Rattus norvegicus: one gene and its partners. The protein of the gene in region 1 purifies or fractionates together with the protein of each later gene. This does not show direct contact. Links are inferred from orthologs where the notes say so. Each region holds a gene or a part of one and is shown on either strand. Other genes may lie near its edges.

Evidence for each region. The genes of interacting proteins can lie anywhere in the genome.
Region 2: the proteins of Gosr1 (region 1) and Stx12 purify together in Homo sapiens (affinity purification with mass spectrometry; 3 studies listed by BioGRID and IntAct, counting the BioPlex papers as one, with this or other methods). This does not show direct contact. The link is inferred for Rattus norvegicus from reciprocal best matches to the Homo sapiens genes GOSR1 and STX12.
Region 3: the proteins of Gosr1 (region 1) and Bet1l purify together in Homo sapiens (affinity purification with western blotting; 3 studies listed by BioGRID and IntAct, with this or other methods). This does not show direct contact. The link is inferred for Rattus norvegicus from reciprocal best matches to the Homo sapiens genes GOSR1 and BET1L.
Region 4: the proteins of Gosr1 (region 1) and Napa purify together in Homo sapiens (affinity purification with mass spectrometry; 3 studies listed by BioGRID and IntAct, with this or other methods). This does not show direct contact. The link is inferred for Rattus norvegicus from reciprocal best matches to the Homo sapiens genes GOSR1 and NAPA.

Annotation. Positions count from the first base shown.
Region 1 is NC_086028.1:62,101,899-62,106,656, reverse strand, and holds the start of Gosr1 (Golgi SNAP receptor complex member 1), read left to right. Parts: upstream 1-1,341; 5' UTR 1,342-1,342; coding exon 1,343-1,373; intron 1,374-3,514; coding exon 3,515-3,635; intron 3,636-4,758. UniProt on the Homo sapiens protein: Involved in transport from the ER to the Golgi apparatus as well as in intra-Golgi transport. It belongs to a super-family of proteins called t-SNAREs or soluble NSF (N-ethylmaleimide-sensitive factor) attachment protein receptor.
Region 2 is NC_086023.1:150,373,320-150,378,407, forward strand, and holds the start of Stx12 (syntaxin-12), read right to left. Parts: upstream 3,028-5,088; 5' UTR 2,950-3,027; coding exon 2,832-2,949; intron 1-2,831. UniProt on the Homo sapiens protein: SNARE promoting fusion of transport vesicles with target membranes. Together with SNARE STX6, promotes movement of vesicles from endosomes to the cell membrane, and may therefore function in the endocytic recycling pathway.
Region 3 is NC_086019.1:205,361,680-205,366,647, forward strand, and holds the start of Bet1l (BET1-like protein), read right to left. Parts: upstream 3,028-4,968; 5' UTR 2,869-3,027; intron 2,224-2,868; 5' UTR 2,114-2,223; coding exon 2,095-2,113; intron 1,046-2,094; coding exon 954-1,045; intron 730-953; coding exon 673-729; intron 532-672; coding exon 364-531; 3' UTR 1-363. Other genes in the region: Ric8a (synembryn-A), read left to right, coding at 3,348-3,431, 3,720-3,767, 3,857-4,447, 4,744-4,835. UniProt on the Homo sapiens protein: Vesicle SNARE required for targeting and fusion of retrograde transport vesicles with the Golgi complex. Required for the integrity of the Golgi complex.
Region 4 is NC_086019.1:85,913,578-85,918,461, reverse strand, and holds the start of Napa (alpha-soluble NSF attachment protein), read right to left. Parts: upstream 3,028-4,884; 5' UTR 2,983-3,027; coding exon 2,885-2,982; intron 1-2,884. UniProt on the Homo sapiens protein: Required for vesicular transport between the endoplasmic reticulum and the Golgi apparatus. Together with GNA12 promotes CDH5 localization to plasma membrane.

The DNA of each region.
Region 1 (4,758 bases):
AATAAGTGGCCCTCCCACTGTGATCAAGGACATAGTATTTTGACTCAAATACTTACTCTCCTTCTGTCCTTGTGGAGCCGGTGTTTTTACTCTTTAGGCCATTTCACTATCCTGCTTCTGCTTTCTCCTAGGGCCAGCCAGCCAGTCCATCCCCAGTCAGGGGGTCTTTCGGACACTTTAAGAGTGACTTGTTTGGGTAGTAAGTGTGTTTATGGCAGGGACATGGACGGGGTGGCAACCCTATGTTCACAGTCAGCTTCTTAATGAACTTAAACACCACATCACTTATTAACATCATGCATTTTATACCCAAACAATAAATTGCTTGGCATACGAGCATTAGGAAGTGAGTTAAGATAACTACCTAGGACATATATGAAAAAGCCAGGCGTAGCAGCATATGACTGTAATCCCAGCACTGGGGAGGCAAAACTGAGGCTTGCTAGCCAGCTAGTCTAAATCAGTGAGCTTCAGGTTGTGGGCACATGGAAACTGCCTGTTAGCAAAGGACAGAGGACTGAGGCTCTGCTGTAGACATAGGAAAACCATCCAGGGAAGAAAGCTTCACATGCTGGAGGGTGGAAGACGGGCAGAGCTGGAAAGTAAGATCAGAAAAGGCTCTGAGAAAGGAAAATGCTGATTGAAGATACTTTTCTCTTTTCTTCTTCTTTCCTTCCTTCCTTCCTTCCTTTCCGTCTTCTTTCCTTCTTTTCTCCTCTTCCTCCTCCGAGACATTTATCCTAGCTGGCCTTGAACTCCCTATGTAGCTGAAGATGACCTTGAATTTCTGGTCTTTCTATGCTCATCTTCTGAGTACTAGGATTAAAGGCATTTGCCACCATGTTCTGTTTATGAAGTGCGGGGGATCGAATCCACACCCTCTTTTTTTTTTGGAGCTGGGGACCGAACCCAGGGCCTTGCGCTTCCTAGGTAAGCGCTCTACCACTGAGCTAAATCCCCAGCCCGAATCCACACCCTCTTACAAGGCACCTTGCTCATTGAGCTACACGCACCCCCGCCCCTATTCCCAAGACATCTTATTTAAGGGGAGATAAAGAAAACTGTATCTCTCCTCTAGGTCATCTGCTGAAAAGAAGAACAATCCGAGATGAACGATTGAAGGTTCAGAAAGATGTGGTATGAACACCCAGAACAGCTAAACCAAAATTTCAAACGTGCTACTTAAAGCTGTAAAATAACGAATGGTCCACCAGGTGGCAGTGTCTACGGAGGCTCCTGTATCCCATCAGCCTTGGCGCTCGGGGTGGAAGAAGGCGTGGAGGTGACTCTCTGGCACTCAGGGCCTCTACTTGCCTGTCCCGACTGACGTTGGGCAACAAAGATGGCGGCGGGAACCAGCAATTACTGGGAAGGTGAGGGCGAGGCCTCTGAGTGGGTCCCGCCGGGTGCAGAGGGGACTTAGTGAGGCTGGATCTTGAGGGGAGCAGCAGAGGGAAAAGCCAGGCCTCAGGAACGGCCATACTTCTGGATGAGTTTGTCCGAGAGGAACCCTGGGCCTGGGAACTTGGGGAAGGAGCTGGGGCGGAGTGAACCGGACCTGGGAAGGGGTTGGGTCTCAGAGTGGAGGGAGCCAGGATGGAGAGGAAGAGGCTCCTGAGGCTCCAGATGGAAGTGTCTGAAGGGTGGTGAGGTTCTCAGGATGGGGCTGCGGGGACGAGCTCTTGGGAGAATGTTGAGCGACAAGATCCAGAGCCCGGAAGATGAGTAGTCAGAACCTTGCAGTTGAGGTCACTGTCAGAAAACTAAGAGTGAGGTGGAACTTGTCTGTGCCGGCCTTGCGGGGAGTTTGAGTGGACTGTCGCCTCCTGGACCCCAACTGGCAATTTGAGATTGAGACTTTATTAACGACTGGATGACAGAATACTGAAAATAAATACCTTCTGCCCTGGACTCCAAGATCGGTTTTGTTAAAAGTGATAGTAAAAGGGTTCTAATGAATACATTTGCCATTCTTCTCCCGCCAAGAAAACATTCAGTTGTGTTCTTTAATTCCTGAAAATCTGGCCCACTCAAGTGAGGCCACACAAAACTTTCCTAGACCACAGTGATCCAAGAAGATCAAAAATGGCACCCTTTTTTCATTTAACTGTTTGCTTCCTTATTTATTTATTTATTTAGTTAGTTAGTTAGTTAGTTAGTTAGTTTTTAAACCTTTTCCTCTTTTTGTCCCATGAAGCCCCTGGAAAATATGGTATTGTCACCATCAGCCAGTAGGTCTAAGGGACTGAATTTTATGTTATGTCATATTTTCAAAATGCTTTGTGTTTGTTTTCCATTAGACTGAATAAATAAATAGAATTACAGAGAAACATGTATTTAAAATGCCCATTGGAAATATGGTTGTAGCTAAAATTTCTTTTTAAACGATGTAGAAGTGGCTGCTGGCACCTCTGATGGTCATTAGGCTATGGGTTTTTGAAACATTATGCCGTTACTAATTAGAGCAGACTGACAATATACCTTGTACCAGATGCTTTAAGCATGCATAGAAAAACTGAAGCCCTGAGGTTTTTAAGTTAACTGAATTGTCTATAAATCTCAAAGACAGTAGGTGGCTGAGCTGTCATTGACAGTGGGATTTGGTCTCTGGGTAGGTGTATTCCACCATATAATTCTGCTTCCTGCCTTTGATTGCAAAATGTAATGAAACAGTGTCTTGATATTCTTTAGTCCTGAGACATTCTTACATTATTCCTACCTGTATTTTACTCCTTTCATTTGAACTCCACCATGAACACACACACACACACACACACACACACACACACACACACACACACACACACACGGGTTTCCAAGTATGGCTTCTTTCATTTAGCCCTTTAGAAACCAGGCTGCTACACCAGTTTATCTGATCGCTTCTACTTTTAAAACATACGTTTTTTAAAAAAAAAAAAAACCAAAAACTGTCACAGTTGTATTCTGTCTTGTTCATAGTGTATTGTTTGTTTTTACTGGACCCCTCAATGTTTTTGAAAAAGCGATTTTTATTTATTTGTTAATTTGGTTTTTCCTTGTGTTTAATTGCTAAGATGTCTTGCCTGTATGGAAAAAAAAAGTTCCAAATTCCTAACACTTTTGAAACATAAAAAGAAAAATGTGTCAAAAAGAATGCTGGCTTCTTACAGTTAGCAGGTAAACCGATGTGAGGATAATAAACTATCTTCATTTCCTCGTGATTTATATTCGCTCCTTGTTGCCCTTCAAGTTATAACAGATGGTTATTACCGTAATTCTCAGGGATGTTGTGGCACTGGCTGTCAAGCTGTCTTTGAAAGAAAAGTGACAGGTTGTGTGTCTCCCACAATGGCTTCCCTCATTGCTCCCTCTGAAGGTTACTTAGCCAGTTTACTTTCTTAGATACGCCTTTGGTTTCTGAGTAACTAGATCAGAGATCATTATGTGATCATTTTCATAGTTGGCTTTCTTAAAATAGTCATGAATTTAATGTCTACTGATGGACTACTGATTTACTTTTGTCATTTTCTTAAAGATCTTAGGAAACAAGCTCGACAGCTGGAAAATGAACTTGACCTGAAACTAGTTTCCTTCAGTAAACTGTGTACGAGTTACAGTCACAGCAGCGCCCGGGATGGAGGCCGCGATAGGTATAGGTACTGCCAGATTCGTATGCCTTAAACTCGGTGATGCTTTTATAAGGAAACTGACATGTAGACCTCTGTGACTGGGTCTGCTGCTGAACTGTGGACGTTTCGATTTCCTTGTCATTATCTTTGTGTCTCTGTCTGTATGTGTGTGTCTTACTGAAATTCTTCCTAATTCATGAGGCCAGCATTTATCTGAGATCTTAGACAAACGGTGATAGCTCAGGAGAAACATCTAGAGTGTATCAATAGTTTGGAAGCCAGGCCTGTACACCTTTGCCAGCACTAGGAGGATAAGACAGGGGACACATGATGTAAATTCATTCTGGGCTCCATGGCAAAGCCAAAGAAATTTCATTCTCGGTCCTCAGAAATGTCTGGTTTGCCCACATGGTTTTTGTTTTCTCTTGTTTTGTTTTTGTATTTCAAGATAGAGTTTGTCCCTGTAGCCCTGGCTGTCCTGGAACTCTCCCTGTAGACCAGGCTGGCCTTGAACTCAGAGATCCCCTGCTTCTGCCTCCAGGGCTGCTGCACCACCACCCTCTGGCTGATGGCTTTTTTTTCTAATTTCTGAGTGGAACTGAGGAGCTGCCCAATGCTCTGTGTCCGGGACCTGTAGTCTCCAGCTCTGGAAAGTGAAGACGGACAGTCTATGCTCAGTGTTCATTTTGATTGCTGGATCGGAAGCATATCAGTGAATAAGGTCATCAGTGAACAGGACTTTTCTTCTAGGCAACTCGGGACTTTGAGAGCCAAGGACTCTCATACCTACTAAGTCAAGTAAATTCAGCTGAATCCTAATGTAGAGAATGAGGGGTTTGGGTGGGTTTTTTTTTAAAATTAATTTATTTGTTTTATATACATACATTGTCATTGTTTTCAGATACACTCGAAGAATTTCCATTACAGATGGTTGTGGGCCACCACGTGGTTGCTGGGATTGAATTCAGGACCTCTGGAAGAGCAGTCAGTGCTCATAACCAACCCTGACAATGAGTTTTTTTAAAACCAGTTCCCTAGACTTCTCTACTGTCCTAAGAATAGTGAATATGGAGTATTGAGTAGTAGAGATTACCCTGTTACTCATTCATTCAGCAAATATTTAAAGAGCAGCAGATACAGTGTGCCAGGT
Region 2 (5,088 bases), on another chromosome or scaffold:
GTTCTCTGCTCCTTACCAGTGAACATCAGTGCTCAAAGAATGGTCGCTGCACCCTGAGTGAAAGAACCCATCATATGCTTGGGACAGAGGTAAACAGCAGAAAAACAAAGATGAATGAACCATGTTTCCTACCTCAAACAGCTAACAATCTAGCAGAGAAGATGAGTATATTACAAAGAAAAAACAAAAAGAAATGAAAAACACACATTCAGCTAGGCAATTCTTTCTTTTTTTTCTTTTTTAAAGATTTTATTTTATGTGAGTACACTGTCTTCAGAAGAGGGCATCGGATCCCATTACAGATGGTTGTGAGCCACCATGTGATTGCTGGGAATTGAACTCAGGACCTCTGGAAGAGCAGTCAGTGCTCTTAACCACTGAGCCATCTCTCCAGCCCCAGCTAGGCAATTCTTTAACTTTTCTCAGCCTGTTTCCTACCTCATAACCTAGGAATATTTGTAATTACTCTACAGGGCTGTTACCGGTTAGGATATTACATGTAAAGCACTTTGCATATGGCCTAGCACACTATGTACTTAAACAGCAGCTAGTAACATTATTAATTATTGACTCTAAGGATCCAATGCCTAATCAGCACTAAATCAGTATCTATCACCAAGAAAACCACTCCTATTCCCCACCATCACCTTTCTTCGTTGTTTTGCTTTAAGACTCACTCTATAGCTCAGGCTGGCTTTGAACCCATGGAAACTGTCTTGCCTTGGTCTCCTGAGAGCCAGGGTTACAGACCTGACTCATCACACCTAGGCTTTGGTTTTAAACCCCTTCTCTGTTCCTCCTTCCTCTTATCCCTTTTTCCTTTTGAAAAGAGACTCAGATGTGGCCCAGGATGGCCTTGAACACACTAGTCAGTCTAGATTTGCCTCTAAGTAATGATAATCCTCCTGCTTCGGCCTCTCAAATGCTATTGTGTGCCAACTATGCCCAGTTTCAACTCTAAATTTTGATTTAAGTGAACACAGACTTGTGATTAAAAGAATCTGTATCAGTTCCTAAGCTTACTATACAACTTAATGCTCAGATATGAAATACCCACAGATAGACATTCAAACTAGGTTAGTGTCAATGAGAAAACTCCAGTCTTGAGAAAACACAATTTTTCTTTCTTTCTCCCTCACACCCCCTTTTTTTTTCTTCTTTCTGGTGGTTCAAAACAAGGTTCCTCTGTATAGCCCTGGCTGTCCTGGAACGCTACCAACAGGCTAGCCTCTGACACTCAGAGATCTGCCTGCCTCTACCTCTCAAGTGCTGGAATGAAAGGTCTGCCCCACCAACACCTTGCACAAAATTCTCTTTAAAATTTTTTTATTATTATTGTATTATGATATGTGGAATATACACACAAATTAATATAAACACACACTCTATGTGCCAGGGAACGAGTATGGATGAGTGTGGAGGTCAGAGGACAGTTCTGTGGAGTCAATTTGCTCCTTCCACGTTATCTGGGTTCTGGGGCTCAAATCAGGTTGTTAGGCCTTCGCAGCAAGCACTTTACCTAAGCCATCTTGCCAGCCCCTTGAATAAGAAATTTCTGATTTAACCTGTATTACAGCTCCAAAATAAAAGGAAACTGGGACACAAAGTACCATACTGTCTGTCTAGTCATCAATAGTATTATTGTGTTTTTAATATCTGGGTTGACAAGCTGACTATCCTTCCTACCTCCAAATCTAACCCTTCCCACCTGAAATCATCTACCTCTCAAATTCTACAGTATACATTTAGATTTAAAAGCAAAGTAACAAGCTGGGTGTGGTGGTGCACATTATTAATTCCAGCACTTGGGAGGCAGGTGGATCTCTCATTTTGAAGCCAGCCTGGTCTACAGGATGAGTTGCAGGGCAGTCAGAGCTATCGAAAAACTGTTTCAAAAATTAAAGTAAAAGCAAAGTGATAGCTTATGTTTTAAAGTTTAGGACATAATTGTAATTTAGAACTGACTCTACCTATTAACAGAGTATAGCTAAGCTCACAAAAAAACACAATGATAAACCCCATAGATGGTTGTCACTATTTTAAAAGTAAAATTGCTTCTGTTGTTCTGTTTACAAGGCTCTGGGCCGATTCTGAGGCTCAAAAAACCACTTTACACTTTAATGGTGAGAAGGGAGTTTTAAGGTAAGCAGTTACAAACTGACTTTGTACCAGGCAGAAAATGAAATCTTCATGTTTTGAAATTTTAAAAACGTCTTTGCTACAAAAGACAACCTAAACTAAAATGTTCCCGGTGCATTCTCCGCCATAAAACAGGAGTCCCTCCCCCCTTAAATACCAGTCATTGACTGATTTCCAGATTAATTACCAGGAAGCACAGTGTGTTAAATCACCCAAAATGCACGCATTCTCCACTTCCCTTAATTGAAAGTTGCTGATGTCCGAGGACCCAACCGCCGAGCAGAATGTGAACCTAAAGTCGCAACCAGTAAGCACCCCCCTGATCCGAACTGAGGAAAACAAGGTGGGTGGGGAGACGGGGACGACTGGAAAAACTCGGCTGACCACTGCGCCATGTCAACCCTGTGCTCACAGTCCTAGAGATGACACACACTCTCTCCCACCCTCTGGCTGTCGGCTCTGTTGACCCCCAGCACCGTCAACTCACAACCCCGAAGACAGGGGTGTGGACCTAAAGGGCCCGAGCCTGACCGACCCGGGAGAAGGCAGCTCGCCGCGCCGGGAGTGGAGGCTCGCGGCTGCCTCAGGTTTGGCCGTAGCTGAGGCCCCGATCCGGCTCCGCGTCTTAGCAGCTTCACCCAGGCCTGTCCCTGAGGCCGCACCCCCGCTCCCGGCTGGGTCCCCTCGCTCACTGGCTTGGCTGATCCGCTGGATGTTGCCACTGCATGTCTGGATGATGCTGTTGAAGTCACGGGGCTGAGGCCCCGACGGCCCGGGATTCCGATACATGTCTAAGGGACCGTAGGACATGACACGGAGCAGAGACCGGGGTCGCGCTTCACGGCGCTCCTACCGGAAGCTGCCACTGACCGGGCCCAGTAGCTGAGAGGAAAACCGGGAAGAGAGAGGGCGGGGAAGGGGCCGTGACTGCGTACACACTGACCCCGCCCATTGCGGTGCGCATGCGCACGCCCCGCCCCATCCCGCAGTGCGCGTGTGCTGCTGGAACTGACGGTAGGTAGTGTCTTGAGAGTTTTCAAACTGCTGGGAGTAAGCGTTCTCGCAAGACTGGACACCTCTAGCTATGCAGCCAACTCAGGACCTGACTTCTTACCCCAGTCTCCTACAGACGGCGTGCCCCGCGCTCAACAACCTGCCTGCCACCAACATGCTCGTCCGCATCCTGCTGCTCGGCGCAGCACTGCTGCTCAGCCACCCTGCAAATTCTCGCTTTTTCAACCCATGGCAAAACAGAGGTGAATGCACGAGCATGGGATTGGACCAGTACAATTCTGTTGTACCCGACAGAATTCGATGGTGAAAACTGTTCAACACCTACATTTCTAACAAGAATGAAGTTACTACCGAAACCAACCGCCAACACGGTGTACTCCGTGCTTACCCACTTCAAGGGATTCTGGAACATTGTCAATATCATTTCCTAACTTTGAGGCCATTCTGGTATACAGGCCATTCTGTGAGTTCCAGGACAGCTAAGGTGACACAGAGAAACCCTGTCTCGAAACACACACACACACACACACACACACACACACACAAAACCAACAAATAAAAAACATTCCCTTCCTGCGGAATTCAGTCATGAGATATATTGCCAGTTAGATCGCATTTGGCTGACAGCCCACCAACTTAAAATGTGCACCACACCGACGAAAACTGGGCTGCCTTCCCCAGCCTCTCCTACTACATCAAAGCCCCTCCTCCTGTGACAGATAACTAACTGCTTGACTCCCGACTCCGACTCTGGATGTGTAAAAGGGAAGAAGAGACTTTCTGATTCAAAAGGTTATGGGAAAAGTTCTAAGAAAAAAATTCATTCCTGATCCCCGAGGCATGAATATGATTTTGCATTCTTCTCCCAGTATTTCAAGACAGACCAGAGACTTACATTCGCCAGAGGATTGGGCCACGGAGTTGCCATAAGCCATGTTTTTGGTGAAACTCCAGATAGACACCATAAACTGCTCCTTTCCTTTTATTTTAATTATTTTTATGCTCAGCGGTGTTTTGCCTATGTGAGGGTGTCAGAAGCCCTGGAATTGGGGTTACAGACAGCTGTGAGCTGCTGTGTGGTTGCTGGGAATTGAGCCTGTGTCCTTTGGAAGAGCAGCCAGTGTTCTTGACTGTTCAACCATCTCTCCAGCCCCAAACTTTGCCTTTTCAAGGATGAAAAATTGAAGTGTCAGGTAATTGATGAAAAGGTATATTCTTTCATCAGAGAGATCAGGGACACTCAGGTGGAGGCAAGCTACCCACATCACACCCCAAACACCTGCAGTTAGCTGCGGGGGGCGAGAGATCTTGGGTCTGACAACTGGTCACATGGTATAAGCTACAATATGAACCAGCCCCACAAATCCCACGGAAGCCTTACTAATCATTTGAGGAGCTCAGGAGAAAAAGAGGCGGCTAAGTTGGAAGCTTTCTGTGGTGACATCGATCCTGTCCTCTCCTGCTGTTAGAAAAGCCTCTTCCAGATGCTGTCTCTGGGGAGACCCTAGTTGAAATCGAGGCACCATTCTCCTTGGAAGGGCTTACATCTAATCTTATCTGTTCTCACTACTAGAAGCCAAGCACGTTTGGGGAAGTAGGTTTTAAGATCACCAATGCTGCCTCAATTCAGTGTCTCAACTTCAGTAACATGAAGGTCCCTTCATTCAATGTTCAGGGCTTCCCCAGACAACCGCCATGATTAGTACAAGTGCTTTGACTCCAGATAAATAGTGACTTAAGTATCAGATCTCTCCAGGTTTGGAACATGCTAGACAGGACAATGAAGTGAAATAGGAGATGCCTTTGGACAAGTTTTCCTACCCATGTTGTATCTCCCCAAAGTCCAGGTCATCATGCAAGAAATTTTGATTTACATTAAATTGTGCCAGATTACCCCAACCGTTACTTCCTTTTCTGCTCTATTCTGAGAACCCA
Region 3 (4,968 bases), on another chromosome or scaffold:
CATAAACAGGTTAGAGCACAACAGAAGGCCCTTGAGGAGTGTGGCCACTGGCCACGGTAGGCGCATTCAGCACTCTCAGATGCTCTCAATAGAACTGGCTCATTCTCATACAACATGGCTCTGACTCTGCCAGTGTCTTTAGCACCAGGGAGTAGCACTGGGTTTTGCCTTTTTCTTCTTCCTTCATACACAGGACAAGCCAAGAGGAGCTCGTTACGACAGAGGCAGCCGCAGTCGTCCTGACTTAGGAAGACGAATGACCCGTGATGATAATTTCAAAGGAATATTGTTTCTGTAGTCAGGTCCTTAGGAAGCCAGGATACCAGGTGGACAAGAGTCTGGCTGCCCTTGGCTCCCACTGGCTCACGTCCTTGTCCTCGACAAGAGGTAGGAGAGGATGAAGAAGGCCACAATTAAGACCACAGCCATACCACACAGAAGCTTCCGGTTGTCTCGCCCAGACCGTGCCACCGTGGAAAAGCGCTTCACACTCCCTGTGAGTAGGCCAGTCACACTTGTGAAATCTGAGTCCTGCGGGAGAGACCCAACGGGATCACATAGAGCTGGGATCTGTGACGGCCCAACTGTACTAGCGCTGAAGGGTTAGAGGCAGAAGAGCAGGCGGCATGGGGGTAGAGCTGACTATGATTTGTACGTAATACAGGCACTTACCATGCCATCTAGGTATCGGTTCTGGTCTTCCGTGTCCCTGTCGATGTCCAAAGCCAGCTGGTTGGGATACAGAAGGCACAGTCAAGCAAGGACACAGAGTGCAGTGCCCATCTTCCCTTCAGATTCTGCTAGGTACCTATTACTAGAAAAAGCTAAAAAGGCCAAGGTATTACCTGAAGCATTCCTCAGTCAGCACACCCACGGACAGCATGGCTTCCTTTCTACCCACTCAGCCCCACTCACCAAAGTGTCTCATGGAAGGGAAAAGGGCCACCACTAACCGATTTAAGCCTGGTGACCTTAGAGGCCAGGCTGTCAGCCATCCGCTTGTTCTCTCTGTCTAGAATCTCCTCCACAGCACCAGAACTCTGAGCTGCAAGACAAAGAGGCTGAAGGGTAGAATTCACTCATAAATGTGGTCCTTGGCTCCTTGCTCCAGTGGAGCCTGGCCTGGTGAGACCTCTAAGGGCATTCCACCCATATCCTTCTGCTCACTTAGCATGTTCCACCCTATGTTCCAACAGGTAGACCACCTACACACCAGACAGGAAGCATGGGTCATGGGAGTACTTGTGTGCAATGCCCAGGCAGAGACAGGGAACCAGCAGGTCAATCTACACTACCCTGTTGTATACTGTTCCTGGACCAAAATGAATATTGCCTTAGCTGAAATCACCATCTGAGAGTATGGGACAGGTCTCAATCTGGTAGGGATTATAGGGAAAACAGAACAGAACAACAAAGCAGGTGACAGGAAGGCTGTGTGGGGATGACTTAGGAATCAAGTCCAAGGTAAGTGTAAGAAAGGCCTTTTACTGTAGAAACTACCAATCCCTACTGCTACAACCCACACAGGATCTCTAGAAGCCCCAGAGCACTCTCCTGTGGAAACCTTACTCCGACGGACAGAGACTAGACATGAAGAATTTCTGTCACGGTATGTAGTTGAGAATCACCTGCCTAAGTGTGACTGGCACTGGTCTGAAGCATAAAAATCCAGCCTCGATATGACCCACCTAAGGGGAAAGCCAGCAGCACCAGCAAACAGGGGCGACCAGACTCTAAAAGACAGACGGCTGTGTCCTACCAACCACTACATAGTTAGTATAGTAGAAGCCTCAGTATCACAACTGTCAGACTGAACACAGGCACGGGGGCGGAGGGTGTGTGTGAAACGAGGCACTTGAGCCCTGTAAGTCCCTGCTTGGACCTTCTGCTTCCAGCCCTTGGCATCAACCATACACACAAACTGATGTCATGCCGGCTTGGGTTCCAAGGCAGTGCCAGTTGAAATCTGGCCCTGTTTTTCCTGGAATACGTAAGCGCCATCCCACGCAGATCCCTCCACCGAGGAAAAATTGATGGCTCGTACTCCAGACTTAGACCTTGCCTCCTATCCCAACTACCTTCAGGTGCGCTCACCTCGAGTCCAATCTGCCATCGCGCCTTCCGAGGTCCCACTCGGGGAGTAGGCAACACAGCGACGGACGTGGCACCACTACCTGGGTCTTCCGGTTCCGCCTCAGGTCTAATAACTTCCGGGAGAAGAGTCTGAAGCGGAAGAAACAGACTTGTAGTTCTACACTGGAATGTAAATAAGGGAAGGGCGGGCCGCCAGCATTCGGGCCTACGGATTGGTCAGCAGTATTAGTCCCGCGCTGTGGGTATTACCCGGAGCAGGAGCTCAGACCCCAACCTGGAGCCGAGGGTCGGGTACCTCGGGCGCTGCAAAGTCCCCAAGTGAGAACGACAGGATGGGGAGGACGAGCAGAAGCGAAAGAGACTGGCAAAGGACCTGACACTGAGTAGAGGCAAGCGCCGGTTAGCACAGCGGGCGGCATTATCCTCTGGAACATTGCTTGTGTCACCGTGGGGTGCACCGACTCTGCCTTAAGCTAAGTGGCATGCAGACCTGGCTCCCCACTATACAACGTTCCTACGCTTCTAACCCCAGACACGCCGCGGCTAGCCGCCCCTCCGTTGCTCCTCCCGCGGGAGTCGCTTTTCCACCGGTGTTCTTCACTTCCTTCTCTCCGATCCTTCCTCATACACTCTGCAATTGCCCTTTTCTTTTGATAACCACATTATTTTGGTGGTTTGGTTTTTTGATTGTTTTTAGATAGGTCTGCCCGTTTCTGCCTCTCGAGTGCTGAAATTTAAAAAAGCGTGCGTTACTATGCCCGGCTAACCACGTACATTATTTTGACCATCCAAGTCGTACTTCTCTTTCCTTATTTCCCGTGGAAGATGAGCATCAGGAAGATGACCGCGAGAATCGTCTTCCCCAACTGACTAAGCGGCCAGGAGCCGGCGCTCCCTCTTTTATCACAGTACGGGAACAAGAGTGTAAGGAGAAAGGTTTACGCGCCGGCCAAGCCACACCCCACTCCCCACCCCCGCCCGCCAGGAAGTCGGGCTAGAGAGAAGGGCTCAAAAGGAGGATACTGCTTAGTTAGCTAGCATCGCTGCTCCAAGACAAGCCGCTCAGCGGCCACAGCCGGGTTGCTCCACCTTAAGCCGGAGGCCAGCCCCGCGCCTGTACACACCCTAGGCTCGGCTGTTCTCCCAGCATTCCTCACGCGTGGACGCTGGGCTTCCGGACCTGGGCGGAGTCCCCGGGTTTGGCCGATTGCGTCTTCCCAGCCCAAGTCTTCTAGCACCCCGTGCCAGGGGCCATGGAGCCCCGGGCAGTTGCGGATGCCTTGGAGACGGGAGAGGAAGATGCGGTGACAGAAGCTCTGCGGTCGTTTAACCGAGAGGTGAGAGGCATCCAGCTGCCGAGGAAATTGCAGGAAGTGAGGAAGCAGCCGGTTGCTCGCCACTCGGCTGGGGTGTGCGTGCGAGTGTGGCAGGGAGCAGGGCGGTGGGTGGTGGGCTGGGCCACGGCGGTGCCTCTGTGGTAGTCAGGTGTATGGGTGGCGAGGGTGGGCCTTGCTTTACGTACACAGCGATGGCTGCTGCTTCAGAGGTAGAAGCAGACCTGCTGCTTCTCGAGGAGCACAGGTCCTACCTGCGTGTGGAACTGAGCTTCCTGGGTCTCCCTGCAGCATTCCCAGAGCTTCACCTTCGATGATGCACAGCAGGAGGACAGGAAGGTAGGTGTCAGCCCAAGGGGGTTCCTAGGGCAAGCACGGGCTGCCCCAAGAAGAGGGCCTAGTGGAACCATTTTTGTCCCTTCCCACAGAGACTCGCAAAGCTGCTGGTCTCCGTACTGGAGCAGGGCTTGTCACCAAAACACCGTGTCACCTGGCTGCAGACTATCCGAATCCTATCCCGAGACCGCAGCTGCCTGGACTCATTTGCTAGCCGCCAGAGTTTACACGCACTAGCCTGCTATGCCGACATTGCCATCTCAGAGGAGCCCATCCCACAGCCCCCAGACATGGATGTCCTCCTCGAGTCTCTCAAATGCCTGTGTAATCTTGTGCTCAGCAGTCCTACAGCACAGATGCTAGCAGCAGAGGCTCGACTGGTGGTGAGGCTAGCGGAACGTGTGGGACTGTACCGCAAAAGGAGCTATCCCCACGAAGTCCAGTTCTTTGACTTAAGGCTCCTTTTCCTGCTAACAGCCCTTCGCACTGATGTGCGCCAGCAGCTGTTTCAGGAGCTGCATGGCGTGCGCCTGCTGACCGATGCGCTGGAACTGACATTGGGTGTGGCCCCCAAAGAAAACCCTCTGGTGATACTTCCAGCCCAAGAGACAGAGCGGGCCATGGAAATCCTCAAAGTGCTCTTTAACATCACCTACGACTCTGTTAAGAGGGAGGTTGATGAGGTAGGTTGTAGTCTGAAGTCAATGGGTGGGACTCAGCTCAGCTGGGGCATTTTGTGGGTTTGCTTCCCTGTGTGCCTCAAGTTGCAGGGTGTCGGATATGGCAAGGACTAGAGGACAATCTAGGCAGGAACTCAAGGTTTCTGAGCTGTGTTGTGCATGGGGCTGGGGACGGGTATTCTCCATAATGCTTCAGGTGACCAAGTGTGCTGTGGACAGGGCCTAGTGATCACCATGTGGCCTTGGGTCATAAGAATAGGGTCTTATTCTCACGGGAGCCCCTTTCCGTCTTTGGCTAGGAGGACGCTGCCCTTTACCGGTACCTGGGGACCCTTCTGCGGCACTGTGTGATGGCTGATGCTGCTGGAGACCGCACAGAGGAGTTCCATGGGTGAGGAGCAGGACTTACTATGTTGGGGATGGCAGGAGTTGCCTAGGTATGGGTACAGAAGTCCTTAACCCTAGCTGTGACTCAAGCACCTGGGAGCCCGGGCCCCACCTTTGAGTGTGACATCATGGGGAAC
Region 4 (4,884 bases), on another chromosome or scaffold:
AGAACTGCCCTTCAGGACCAATTCAGTCCCTATGGTGCACAGCAGAGGAACAAGAGGAGGTAACGGGTATCCAAACTCTCAGGCAGGTATGCCCACCAGCAAGGGAAGGGCTAAAAAGGCTTTGACCTTAAACTAAATGGTGCCTTAAAGCCCCCTAGTGTCTACCAGCCCACAAATCCAGAAGTGTGAAGATGGGTGAGAATAGCCTACTTGACCCGTGTAACCTGAGCAGAGGCCTCTTAACTTGGCAAGCCCTTAACACAGACATTCCATAGAGCAGAAGAAGCCTTGGTGAGCAGCTGGGGAAAGGCTGCTTGTCAAATGTTTACCAGGCAGCCCCAGTGGTGGGCCAGAGCAGGGCCCACCTGGTGGTGGTTTCTCTCCAGGTTATCTCAGGGTACCTCCAAGGACCCTGAGTTCCAGTGGGCCTTGCTCACTTCCCTACCTCCTCTATTCTTCCTGGAAGGACCAGAAGAAATGCACCTGCTCCTTCAAATGTTTGTAGAAAACTACTGTGGGGGCAGGCAGCAGCCTAAGGGAGGTAGCACCCCAAACTAGTCTGCCAACACCCTCCCTACATGTAGTGCCCACAAGCAGGCCTGAGTGTCTGGGACTCTCTGGGTGTCAGAGGTATCAGACTAATGGAGGGGGGACTATAAGCCTACATGGGCCAGGTCTGACCACCTGGTGCCTCCTCAGCTTCCTGTGCTGCTAGACAAATGAATCAAGTTTAGACTGCTCCCTTTATCTTTTACCCACCTCCACAGTGATCTTGTGGGGACTACATAAGGCTGACTGCCTGGCCAGGCAAGGCTGGGCAGTAGCGTGAACAACTGGCAGGCATGATCCACTATCACTGTAACAGGGTCCCACATACTGTCCCACAACCAGCTGTTGTGGGTTTTGTTTTTTTTCTAAAGGGTAAAAGAGGAAGTCATTTTAACAGGCCCTCACTAAAATCCTGCAGGCTCCCCAGTACCTCAACTCCAAGCCCATACTCACAGTCCTCATCTATGTCCAGCCTCTGCTCCCCCCTTTTCAAGTCACAGTCTGACTTGGAATTCTGCCTATGCTAACCCTTCCTTCAGCAGGCAGGCTTCTGGGCCCTTTCTCAAGCTTGTCCTTTCTGCTGCTCTCCAACTGAGAGACCTGAGATCTCCTGCTCAGCCCTGGGATGGAGGCTCATCCTCTAGGAAGCCATCTCTGTCCCTGTCCTCTACATTCTGGGCAGAAGCTCTTTTGCACCAGAGCGAGCTTCATTCCCACCATCCCTGCAGCCTAGACTGCCCTCCCAGACCACTGTTCTCAGCCTCACTCCTCACCAAAAACCTCCCTCAAGTTCTCAAAGTTTCTTTTCAGCTCGAGAACTTTGTGTGTGTGATAAACTGGCCTTTACACCCCACAGTTCTGCTCTATCAGTGGTTGGGAAGTGGTAAACAGGGACACACAGCTGCTCCCTTGGAGCAGCCAAGTATACACTTATCTCTCTGGGCCAAAGAGACCAGACTCTGAGCCATCAGGAAAACTACTGATGAAAACTGAGTTGGAGGTGCCATCCCACTACCATGCCTCTATACACACACACACACACACACACACACACACACACTCTCTCTCTCTCTCTCTCTCTCTCTCTCTCTCTCTCTCTCTCTCTCAAATGAAACATTTTCATCTAACTGACACAGCCTGTCACTAGCCAGATGTCTCAGCAGCAGGTACAAACATTTTTCAAGTTCCTTTGATAAACATTATCTAATGTCAAACAACAAAAGGGTAGCCTCATCCTCTCCCCCACTTCATGTCTTTCTGTCCTCACCCAGCTCCTAACAGTCTCTCCCAGAACCCAGGGCTTTTCTCCCAGCCTTCCCCCAACTTCCTAGGAGTCTTCTGTCTTCTTCAATCCTTGTTTCGGAGGCTTGATTTTGTGTCCTACCCTGAGCACAGCTCTTCCTCGACACCTGCTTGGACCTTTCCCCAGTGCTCCTCTCTGCTTGTTCCCTCAGGAGTCTTGCCTGCTCCCATGCAGTGTCGTCTCCCCTTACCCTTCCTACACCCCAAGGCTCTGCTCTATCAGTGGTGGGAAGTGGTAAACAGCTGGCCCTCTCCTCAGAGCTCCTCAAGCTCTCCTGTCCTACCATCTTGGTCTCCCCACCAGCATCTTACACTCTCTGACTCTGCTTCTTCCTGGCTGGTAAGCCTTTCAGAGGGCTCAATTCTGAGCACATTATACATAGTTCATACTCACAACAAACTTCTGCAGTCAGTTAGTTTTTACCAATGAGCCCTTTCAGGGAAACGTACTCCCCTAAAATAAAGAAACCTCGGAACTACATCCCAAGCATGGGTTCTTCTGCTCCCAAGTTAATATGGCTGAAGATGTCGAACTTGCATAAACTTTGTGTGAGGTACCTGCCACCTCCTGGGTGTGTTCAGACCCCAGACTTGAGGACCTCTACCCTACTCTGATTCTCCTGGTTGCCTCATCCTCCCATAGCCATTTCCTTGACCAAACCAGTGTCACTGTCTGTTTATGGCTGCCCCCCCCAACCCCCAAGTTTCCACCTCTCAGTCCAGGTCTCCTTAGTTACTTGCCATCAGTCACTCTCAGCAGGAAGCCACTACCCTCACACCTCGTACTCCGGCTCATCATGCCCAGGGTCGCCCCAGCCCGGGTGCCCTCGGTCTGGTGTCCTCACCCCGGCAGCCTGGGCCGCACAGATCCACGGTTACCGGCCTGGGAAAGGCGCGGCTACCATTCAGCCACAGGGCCGTCAGCCACAGGGCCACCCTCAGAACCTGCAAGGCCGCAGAGGGGCTCCCAAAGTGCAGAGAGCAGAAGAGCCCGCTCTTCCCCGCCTTGGGCCCAACCTCGCCCGCTGCTCACCCAAAGAGGCCGGAGAAGAAGGACTGCGAGTTCTTCACCTTGCGCTCCGCTTCAGCCAGCAGCGCCATAGCCTCAGCCTGCTTCCCGGAGGTGTCCATGACGTCGCGCAGCTGCTCGGTTCAGGCCCGACACAGCCAAGCTACGACTCACAGGCCCGGGACAACGCGCACTCAGCGGAGCTCCGCCCGCTACGTTGACGTCACCCGGGTCTGCTATCCCACGTGAACCGTGAGAGCCAACCAGAGGGTTCAAGCTGCGAAGCACTCTCGTCCCGGCACGCCCCTCCGGCTACCGCACTCCGCACCTTGACCCGCAACACGTGAGCACACGCCCGAGGTCTGACGCTGCTAGCCTCCTAGAACCCTAGAGCGCACTGCCACGTGACACCAAGTAAGCCAATCATAAGCTCGCACCGCCAAGTGCCAATTTCTCCCCCACCCCCCACAAAACGCGACCTTTGACTCCTTCCAACCAATCAGCAGGCTCCATAGATCTGTTCCGCCACGCCTCGGCGGAACTGGGAAGCACTGATCAGCTGACCAGTTTCTCGGCGCTCACGTGACGCCTCAAGGTTCGTTCTCGAGGTTTGACAGACCCAGCAGTTTAGTTCCACCTCCTGGTTCACTTTACGTCTTAGTCACTTGGGAGTAACAGCTTTGTAGTAAAAAAGAACCTTCTAACTCCCTCTGGCGATCGTCTCTAGAATTGGCTTGCGGAGTCCAGAAGTTCTCCATTTCTAGCTGGATGGCTCAGCTGCTAAAGGCAAGTTTAACAACTATAGTTCGATTCCAGGGACCCACATGGTGGAGGCTGAGAACTGACTCCTCCAAACTGTTCTCTAACCTACGCACACAACGCGTTTAGAATATTTTGCAGTGCCACACACAGAATGGCACTGGATACCCAGACCCATGTAAAAAGCTGGGTGTGTCAGCGTGTAGCTGTAACAGGAATGGGTGAGTGGGAGACAGGCATATGCCTGGAGCTTGCTGGCCAGCAAGTCTGGCAGAATCAATGAGCTCCAGGGTCAGAAAGAGACCTGGTTTCAAAAAATAAGATGCAGAACAACTGAAGAAGACTCCCGACATCAACCCCTGGCCTACACATTAAACATTGTTAAAAATTAGTGAAAAAAAAGTCTAAATAAAGCATGGGCAGTTATTGATAGTGGTTCAGTAGCTGTAGTAAATACACTACACTATAGTAAGAGCAACATCTTACTATAAGAGAAACTGGCTATGTGAGAACTTTTGGTACTATGCTAGTTTTCTGTAAATCTCGTTATTCTAAGGCCCTGTGCACAGCGATTTCAGTCCCAACAGTGTGCTGTGGTGCAAGAATCTGTATTTCTTCTTTACTGAAGTTTACTGATTAGCAGAGAACATTTGAGGAAAGTGTTATGTGAGTTGAGTGTTGGGGGTCAGGAAAAGGCAAAAGACATCTCCCCACCCCCACCTCCTTCCCATTGAGCACTTTCCCAAATATACCTGTGCTCCCGACTGTGCTCTGACCCCGGAGCTGGTGAGTCTGGAGGGCCACAAGCAGTTATGGTTCCCCTTCCATTTGCTGCATGGTCTCATCTTTTTGGAACAATGAGCTGTGCAGCAATAGATGACTATATACCCTCAACCCATAAGGCCAGCTGCTTCCACTCATGGAGTTGGGTCCTTCAGGGTAGAGCAGTGGAATGCTCACTGCAAAGCAATGCTCATGTCACTGGGAATGCCCACCAAGAAAAGTGCATTTCCTCATTTACCCACTACACACATTGGGAAAAAATGTTCAGGTAGGAAGGAAGAGAGCCATTCTGGTTCCTGGGCTGCCCTGTACCCCTCATTTCCCTCAAACAGGATGTCTCAACAGCTCCAAAATCAACCCCCACCCCTGCTGCCTTCAAGCTTTAGCTGAGATGTTGAGACCCTTTCTGTAGTGCTGGGATGGGGCCCTGGAACACAGGAGGCAAGGCATGGCTCTTGCAAGTTGGGGTTCGTATAGATGTC